Linked DNA regions of Tribolium castaneum. Each later gene encodes a partner of the first gene's protein in a complex. Links are inferred from orthologs where the notes say so. Each region holds a gene or a part of one and is shown on either strand. Other genes may lie near its edges.

Region 1 (4,919 bases):
TTAAGACAAAAATTTCCTATGAACATGTATCGGAAAATACTTCGTAAGGGAGCTACACGCCCTAAACAGGGTGCTTCTTTTAGTGAGTTTTTCTCAATATTTCAGAAACTATTTTAGATAAAATTGCAAAATTTAGTACAGTCAATAATCTTTATACGCCTAATCGAATTCGAGAATCAAATGTAGATATTTTTAATCAGGGGCGTCCTAAACTGGAGGGGTGTAGAGTAAAAACTACCCAAACTATTTTGGCTTAAGTTTTTTGACACTGTGACAAAATCATAGATCATAAATTTCATGGTTTCTTACATAAAAATGGTTTCTTTATTATATTAATTTATATTAAGAAAACCTCACTACAAGAAGCAGCCCTTTCAGGGGGTGTAGCTCCCTTACGAAGTAGTTTTCGATACATGTTTCTAAGAAACTTTTGTCTTAAAATTTAATGTTCTATCACTCGTTTAAATTTGTAACAATAAAAACGAAACATCCTGTATTTGCCTAAGAAACAGATAAAATTTGGGAAACAATAATCGCTTTGTTCGCAGTAGCGATCCTGAACTAGTTCAAACATCAATCGCAGCTAATACTTATTTTTAAATAACATTAAAAAAATATGAAATAGTTATTAACGATTAGCTCTCTCATTGAAAGTACAAAGTCTGTTGAAAAGAAACTAAATAAATAAAATGCATAAGGCATTTTTGACAAATGTTCGACATTTTTCAATACGAAACGTCAGATTATTCTTAATAGTATTTGTTCAAACTTAACTTTAAATTTTTTGGGTTTATTAAATTACTTTGAACACACTGGAAAACAAATAACTGCTTTCTCTTTTAATTCTCCAAATATGATTTCGAAATCTTTAAAACAAAGAAAGTTACCGATTTTTTAAGCAAAACCAAAATTTTTCAAGGAATCTTAAATATCCCGAAAACGGTTAAAGTCAGGTATAGGAAAAGCTGATAAAAACGGCCTTTAAATAACTCAACTAATCCAAAAACGCAGTGAAAAACAGCTTTTAAAATAAGAAAGTTGATACCAACTTCTGGTATAACCGGAAGTGCCGGCATCTTAAAAATATTTTTATTGAAAAGAACTCAACCGATTATGGTTGAGTACCAACTTCCAGATGAATATCTTTATTAGAACTTTCAGTACTTCTAATGTGGAGTTTAGACGGAACATAGTGTATATCCCATTTCAGTTCATAGTAGAATTTTGCAACAGTACATTTAAATTTTTCGAAGTGATATAAAGCACAAATTGAGAGTATCATAAGAAAAGAGTTCTGTGTTAAATTAAATACCAACGACAAATTTTGGGCCAAGAATTTTTTTGTCTTGATCAATAGGGTTTTATGTATAAGAAAAATAAAACACCCGCTTTATTTACATATCAAACTTTAATTTTTACCGAAATAATTACAAGCCTTAAATTAATCTAACTAGAACTGCTTCCTTGAGAAAATCGTCGGCACCCACGGTCTCGGTTTAGCTTCCTGTTCTTTTTTCTTCGCCCCTTGTGCCTCCAAAAGCTCCATCAACTTTTTCTGTTTCTCTCGAAATGCTTCAATCGGATCGTCATATTTGCTATAATACAGTAAAACCTCTCTAACATCTTCAATATTATTATCAACTATCGTCTTCAAAAAGATCGATAAATCAACCAAAGACAAGTCCTCATCAGCCCCTTCCCATCTCCTGACTTTCAAAAGATTCTCCGGATGGAACTGCACACTATTCGGATTCCAATCCACTACAATAACTTTACTCAAATCCCGGTTCAATTTGTCCAGACTTTTGACATGGTGCCCGCCTACGAAGTGCGTCGCGTCTCTCACCAGCTTGTACGAGATGAGGTTTTTGGGGTCCATGGCCTCAATCAGGGGAAAAACCGTCATTCCTTGCTCCGCCGTGTAGACAACAATTTCGAAATGTCCATGAAGAGACTCAAGAAAGTAATCTAAACCTGGCCTCTTCTTGAACCTCCAACCAGTGTTGTAAGTCCAATCGGGGTGCACCAGAACATCGGTCAGTTCCAAGACAAGAGTATATTTAGGTTGTAAATAGGGGTACTGAAGGGGGTCTGGCAATAACTTGTCCCTGGAGGGCTCCTTAATCAACCTCCTGTAATTATCCAACTCCCGGTACGTTCTCATTAAATACTGGCGCCACAGCGGCAAGTGCGACAAGTCGTCTTCGATCACGCGCCCCTCTCTGTCTCTTTCCGGAGCCCCCAAGACAAAAATCAAGTACGAACCCAAACACGTGAAAGACACTCCGAAGAAGATTAGTGTGAGTTTCATTGTTCGCCATGACGCCTCTCGCTGTTTTCTTGCTTCTTCTTCCTCCGAATTTGCTTTCTCGTTCGTTTCTTTGGCTATGAGACTACCGAGGGGCGACTTGACCGGCTGCTTTTTTGCATCTTCGGCGTAATTCCGATGTTGAATTATGACTAGTGGTGACTTGAACAGCACTCGGGGGCCGTTCCGTGTGAGAATTAGGGAGGTTTTGTGTCGAAATAAATTACTAAACACGTTCAAAGTTCTAAAAGTAGATCTGTACATTTTGAGGTTAGGATGCAACTGTCAAACACGTTGCGGTTCAAATCGTGGGGAAAAATTCCACCGGGGGTTTTGTTACATAAAATGATAAAAACCTGCACGATGGGACTTTGCACTGGGGCTACGGAACCATTTATAATTTTTTTGGCATGGTTGAATTAAACGAAATTGTGTTGGTAGCAGTGGCACGTAGTGTGTTTTTTGTCTTTTTGAATTGAATTCAATTAAAAAAAATTCAAAAATAGTCATTTTCGATGTATTTAATTTAATTTCCTGGAAAAAGCGACTAATTTGGAAAATTAAAAAAGACAAAATTGTTTATGTATACATTTTCCAAAAAAATCTCACTTGTGAAATGAGCTACAGACTGATCCAGAAATACTGAGTCTGTTGGCAACACATTTGGAAGTATTTGTACTCATAAATTGCAACATTGCAACCGAATTCGATTTTTTTTGACAATTATTTGACGTACAACCCTACAAGATTGTTGTTAACTAGAAGAGTACTCCATTGGTATCCTTAAAAATTTAAGTCCAGTGTTGCCAACAGACTCAGTATTTCTGGATCAGTCTGTAAATCTAAAGAAAGAGATCGGTATGTTATTTTCTATTTTCGACGTTTATTGTAAACTCTTCGACGATTTAAAATTTGTCTACCTTTTTGTAAGTAGATTTTATTTTTCTACCAAAAATAAATAAAAACATAAATATTAATCAAAAAGTTTGGAAATATATTGCAAACACCCTGTATAATTTAGATCAATCCAACTTGATTAGTGCATCTAGCCTCAGTTAGACCTTGTTTAAGACCTACATACTAATAAAGTCATCAAGAAAGCATCATTTCTTATTTATTATTAATTTTTTGCAATACCTACTGTTTTGTAAGTCATCGTTCACTGACAAATATCTTTCATTGTAATCGGCACTTTTTAGTCTGCTGTAAGTTTACATCGTTACCTTGCAGTAACATTTTACTTACAGTCCGTGGGCGGTAAGTAAATGTTACATACCAACGTATGTCACATGAAAATGTTTTCCTGAAATACGTCCTACAGCATAAATAACGCCTACAAAATATCAAAAGTCCAACTTTAATATTAAATGAGATATAGAAGACGAAGCTGTGCGGGATCACCATGTATACGTGATACGTACAGTCACGATTAAAAAGAATGACACCCCTAAAAGCGTAGCCACAAATCTTTTGATATGATATGGTTAATGTGTATGTTTGGCTAGTTTATAAACCAACTGCATATTGTGCAAATTACTTGGACAGTTTTGTAAACCAAGCTGTTTGTCCAAATTCATGATTTAAAAGATTTTAGTCGTACTTTGACTATCCGGTACGGTTGATAATGGTGTCATTCTTTTTAATCGTGTTTGTGTTAATAAAAAAAACATCAAGATCACAATAATCGAAAATTTATATTAAACGTAAAATTGTTTTAGGATCCCAAATTAGCCTTCACTTTTCTCTTACGATAAGTAGTTTTAGAGATATTAGATAAAATATGGTCGAGCCTGAGAGAAAGGGAAGCAATATGTTAAGGGTTCTTTTCGTTACGTATCGTCTTAAATTATTGTAGCAACATTTTGTTTGTACACCATAAAGTTTTACAACAGATAATGGTGTTTAGCATAAGCAACCCTCACAATAAGCTGTCTTGACAAGGGTGACCCGAAAATATTTACGATACCGATTAGTTCCTCTGAAAGAGTACAACTTGTCTGCAATAAATCACACAATAAGCTTGCCTCAGTGATTAGCTTGAAGGGTCCGTGCGGTTTGGGGTAATCATAATAAAAATTTAATGGTGTACAAAGAAAACGTTGCTATAGTGGCGGTCAGCTCGATTTGCGTGTGCGTCATCAATTTCATTTTTTCATTACCAACATAAAGCTATAAAAAATTATCAAAAATAATGCAAATTTAAACAGCTAAGGGCTATCTAAGGGTGGTATCCTTGAACATTAATTTACATGTGCACTTCGACAACACCGTCAAGTGCCACGAATTTGTCAAACTGACATTGACAGTAAATTATAGACGTCATCGCATGGTTGTCGAAAGTGTTATCGGTGTTAATCGCAAGTATTTTCTGTTCGTTTATTGTGTTTTGTGATTTGCGTTTCGTTAGGTTTTTGATTCTGCGTTTATTAGTTCTTGTTTTGTGAATCTGTATTTTTTGTAACAACTCATAATTTAAACACTTCGTAACCTCAAAAAATATTTGACAGTTTTTGACCGCTATGCCCCTGCTATGTAAACGTAGTGACAGAAATGTCAGATGACGCACACGCAAACGGAGCTGAGCGCTACCATACAATAATTTGACAATAGT
Region 2 (5,013 bases), on another chromosome or scaffold:
CAACTCCTCAAACAACGGCTTGCCCCCGGATAACTCGATTTCGCTCCCGGACATGAAATCCTCCTCGTAGTCGTCTTTAATTTCGAAATCGTACTCTTTGCTCGACTTTTTGCTATACAGTGAAGGCAGTAGATCAGTTCTTGATTTGTTTAAAGGTGGCAACTCGAGTTTTGTTTTAAGCTTGTCACTTTTCTTTGACTTATCTTCAGATTTTGGACTGGTGTCCTGATCCGTTGTACTATCTTCATTCGTTGATTTGTCACAGCTGCCGTTTTCTTCTTCTATGGAACTTGTTCCATTGAACGTATCATCATTTTCAGCGTCTCGCTTAATGTACGTGGAATCTAAATTATCGTTTTTATTGTTATTGATATGTGTGGAGTGCTCGCTTAAATTATGGCTGTTTTTGTTACTAAGGATGGAGTTTTCAGCTTCAGAGTCGTGTCCGTTAGTTTCCTTCAGTTCGTCGTTAACATTCAAATTGATTTTCAGCGTTTTTGACTTGATTTGAGCAACTTTAAGCAAGTGTTGGAGGACAGGACCGGAAAAACTGTCTGACGGTTTTAAGCCCAAATCTTCGATGATTTTGTCGCGTCCTTCGTACTTGTAAAAGCTGCCAACGTATGATTCAGGCTCGTAAACAGACGCAGTGAAATCGAGGTCAAAATATTCAAGGAACTCTCTAACGAGACAAAACATGAGCTGACCTTCTGGCACTTCTAAGTATGACTTGATTTTTGTGTTTAACAATGGCTGTTGCTTACTTATCTGAAACAAACGATATATTATCGTGTGAGACTGTTGGTTTCTTGGAATTACTTTAGAATCTTCGTCTAAGGCAAGAAATAGGTTCGCTCTCAACTGTGCCTGAAATAAGACTAATAAAGAAGAGGAAACAAATTTGGCATTGTTAAATACTCGTATTTTCGGGAGGCAACCGTTTAATTCGAGGGTTTGAGCCACCATGTCTCGCAATTCCACTTCTTCCTCAACTGACATTTTCCCACTTAAACACACGGTTTGCAACGAATTGTCAATCACAGCACAAACAACTGAGCAATTTCATTAAAACAACAGAAAACAAGACCTAAATGAAAAAAAATTGCGTTCCCTCAACCCCCATTTCAATCACCTGTCACTTGTCAAACGTCATTTTTAAACCAGCGGACACCAAACAAACACCTCAGCTCAATTTTTTTATTATTAAATTTACAAGTCAGTGATGTGCCGAATGTGATAGCCGTCTTGACGGCGACCGCCTTATGCTCTTCAAGACCGAAAAAATCGTATTCGGGGCTACCCCCAAGTTCAAGAATTCGACCAAAATCCTACAACATGTTGACGATTACTGGTTTGTTGATATTTCAGGTTTCAGGAAAAAATACCTGAAAACTTTTACATCCATGTGAACACCTGCCAATTCGCCTAATAATTGGAGCTCATCTTGGTGGGGCTGCAGCCGCCCGGAAAAATTTGAAGATGTCTCGGTGTGCATTTTGAAACTTGACACGCTTATGCCAAATAGCGGCTTTTTATCCGACAAATTATTAGTTGAACTCATCAAAAATTCGATCAGTTAAATGTTTTCGGTGTTATAGCCCCTTACACCAACCGCCAAACTGTCGCATTTTGACACATGTCAACAAATTTTAAATACCTGATTGAAAATTAAAAATAGCTCGATAAAGTCTCGCCATAATTACAAGATAATTTGTGATTGATTTACGTCCAAAGGTCCAAACGTTCAAAAAGTTCAATTAATTTTTACAATTTCGTGACAATGCTTACGTCCTGTGATTAGTTTGCCGAAATTATTTTAACTTAAATTTTTACTAAGTGGCCGCAATATTAAAAATCTAAATGTTGGAAGTACAAACAGCAAAGATTCGTGTACGAAAATTCAGCTTTGCAGTACAAGATCTGTCCTGTTTTTACTCTCAAGAAAAGTGCACTCATTGAACAAGTCATAGACAGAAACGCACAAGAAAGACGTAACCGTAAATTATTAAAAACGCACATCCTCATTACAAAAAATGCACGGAATAGTAATATATTCGATATTTGTTTAAAATTGTAAGAATATAAAAAAATCATTAACCAGTATTTTATTTGTTACTAAGTTTTAGATAATATGCCACTGTGATAGAGATTGCACCAATTCAAATATAAGTTTACGTGTATTACATTTCTAACAGTCACCTGTCAAGCACATATTACATACTTGCATGTAATGCCTCACAAAATAAATTTGTGCTGTAGTATAAATTGAGTTCCTATATTAAATTATAAACGATTAAATGCTCTTTTTTTATTAAAATGTTAGTCATGAGAAGTCCATTTTTAATAGAGGTAATTTAATAATAGTAGACTAAAAATTTCTGCTCCTAAAAATCCGACAAATATGTTTCTGTTTATGACATTTCTAGATTTAACCGATTCTACCAAAGAAACAATGATTGCGTCCTGTGAGTAGGTTTCCAAAATTATTTTACCCCAAATTTCAACTAAACGGCCGTAATTAAAAAAAAAACACGAATACTGCAAGTATGAGCAACAAAAAGTAACCATTTTATGCGCGAAAATTTTTCTTTATCCCCTCAAGATCCGTCCTGTATTTACCCCTTCCGACATTTTCTCGACCTTCGTGTCGCATGTGTGTGTGTGTAACAATCAAATTACCAAATTTCGGCCAAAAACTCGAAAATTTCCTGTGTCAGTGCTCAAAAAATGTCAGCCTTGAATGATACCGACATTTATTCCCAAAATTACAACACCACAAGCGGCAATTTAGGTAAAAACCCCGACATAACCTCAAACCCCGATTATATAAACCCAATTCCAGGATCTTACAAACAATTCTCGTCACCATACCTCAACTTTGACCCCAGTTACCTGCCTCAAGCCCAACCCGAGTTCATCTTCCTCGAAGGGGCTAGCAAACAACGGGGGCGATTCGAGCTAGCCTTTGGCCAAATCGGGGGCTCTTGCATGATTGGGGCCTCGGTGGGGGGCGCCTCCGGGTTTTATAACGGCTTGAAAGCGACCACTTTGGCAGGACAAACGGGGAAATTAAGACGGACACAGTGAGTTTCTTCAATTGGTAGTGTTTTTCACTGATTGTAATTGTAGGTTATTGAATCATGTTATGAAACAAGGCAGTGCCACAGCCAACACGTTCGGGTCCATAGCTGTGATTTATTCAGCGTTTGGCGTTTTCCTCTCGTGGGCACGGGGGGCTGATGACGATCTTAACACTATTATTGCAGCCACGGCAACTGGTTGTTTGTACAAGTCCACAGCTGGCTTAAGGAAATGTGGCTTAGGTGGGGCTGTGGGATTAGGAGCCTCTGTTTTGTACGCCCTCTGGAATTCGCGAGATAAATTCACACAGTTGAGGCCACTCAATCCGGCGTAAGATTCTGTTTGTTTTAGAAACGAATTTTAACATAGGTTTTAGGTTAACTTAAGTACTGATTGGCTAGACAACTAAATTATTTTAACAATTTCCATAGATAGTACAATTTATCTACATAGTAGAGCGCTTGTGTTACCAATAAATTGTCATTATTTAGATTGGACAAGCCAATTTTTGGTAGGATATAGAAAGTTATAAAAACGATTTTTACCACTTTTTTTATACTTTCTATCAACTTATCGTTTGTATATAATTTGTGCTGTGATCTACCATTGTTACATATGTAATAAAAATTGCAACTATTCTTTTTCGAAGCTTATTTTTAATTCATTATTTTTCTGCAGGCAACGGTAGCGAGCCAGGAAACCGTTTTAACCCTCTGGTTTTAACCAAGACTGTAGATAAGTGTAAATACATTTCCAAATTATGCGAAAATATTGTAAGTTATTTAATAAATTTATTCACGTTTTAAGTAGCTTGAATTATTTGCGTTAACAGTGGCCGGCATTTACAAAATTTCAGCGATTTCTTAACATCAAAAATTAAAAAAAAGAGTAGTTTTAGTTTTTTACTACTATAATAAATTTGTTTTAAAACGCTGATTACGGCGAAACTAAATCAGCTACGAGATAGTCTTGTTCTATTGTAAAGAATACATCAAAATCTATTACGTAGGAGGGTTGCATGTTTTAATCTCCCAGTTCTACAGGTGCTCAAAAACTGGCGCACCAACTCAGTGGTACGTTATTGAGAAGCAAGTGCAGATTACGGGAAAAATGTTGAAAAAATTCCCAAAGTTATATTTTAAAAAATCTGGAGCTACAAACTTATTGTGTTAACTTCTTTAGTTTTCATTATTTTTTTATGTTTTTATGTTTCATACCAGGTAATCGTTCCGTAACAAAACGATGAATAATTATTTTTAAATTTACTATCAGATTTTAGCAGTTTTTTTAATTTAAAAAAATTAAAATTCATCCAAAAATCACAATGTGTAGATGTGCCAACACTGGGAATTATTTCCTAGGAAACCGTTTCAAAAATAATTTATTTTTATTGTTGCTCAAATTCTATTGCGATCATGACTATTAGACAACGTTGCCACATATCATTTATATAAAATCCATTATTTATCAATAACTTTAATACAAAGAATTTTTTTACTATTTTTACCTTTATATGTTACCAATTCTCTACCACACACCATTGAGTTGGTGCGCCAGTTTTTGAGCACGCTGTATAATTTCAACAAATAAAAAAATGAAAATATCAAACTAAAAGTTTTAGTTCTTGGTAGTTCAGACTTAGATTTTAATATTGTTACGGTATAACAGTTGTTTCAATTGAGCGCGCAAAGTTCTATAAAAAGCGTTAAAAACACTCCTACGGTGGAATTTGAAAGAATATACAACTGGTGCAACACACACTGTCGCGGTGTATTGTTAGTTGCCTGCCACACAAAAAGGAGTGTCCAACTTAATTACAAATTCGTTGAACTTTTACGTCTCTATGAATGGACCGGCAATTAAAACTACTACAACTACTCATCTGGCATCAAATATGTTACAAAAATGTGTCTTTAGCTAAAGCAATCGCCC

Evidence for each region.
Region 2: mitochondrial import inner membrane translocase subunit TIM50-C (region 1) and mitochondrial import inner membrane translocase subunit Tim23 share a complex: the UniProt entries of both Homo sapiens proteins name them as parts of the TIM23 complex. The link is inferred for Tribolium castaneum from reciprocal best matches to the Homo sapiens genes TIMM50 and TIMM23.

What each region holds. Positions count from the first base shown.
Region 1 is NC_087399.1:10,216,227-10,221,145, forward strand, and holds mitochondrial import inner membrane translocase subunit TIM50-C, read right to left. Parts: upstream 2,747-4,919; 5' UTR 2,573-2,746; coding exon 1,451-2,572; 3' UTR 1,390-1,450; downstream 1-1,389. UniProt on the Homo sapiens protein: Essential component of the TIM23 complex, a complex that mediates the translocation of transit peptide-containing proteins across the mitochondrial inner membrane. Has some phosphatase activity in vitro; however such activity may not be relevant in vivo.
Region 2 is NC_087394.1:25,694,260-25,699,272, reverse strand, and holds mitochondrial import inner membrane translocase subunit Tim23, read left to right. Parts: upstream 1-2,604; 5' UTR 2,605-2,727; coding exon 2,728-2,791; intron 2,792-2,842; coding exon 2,843-3,083; intron 3,084-3,129; coding exon 3,130-3,411; intron 3,412-3,457; coding exon of another isoform or gene 3,458-3,467; exon of another isoform or gene 3,468-3,729; intron 3,730-3,759; coding exon 3,760-3,769; 3' UTR 3,770-3,887; downstream 3,888-5,013. Other genes in the region: centrosomal protein 43, read right to left, coding at 1-768, 820-867, 919-999. UniProt on the Homo sapiens protein: Essential component of the TIM23 complex, a complex that mediates the translocation of transit peptide-containing proteins across the mitochondrial inner membrane.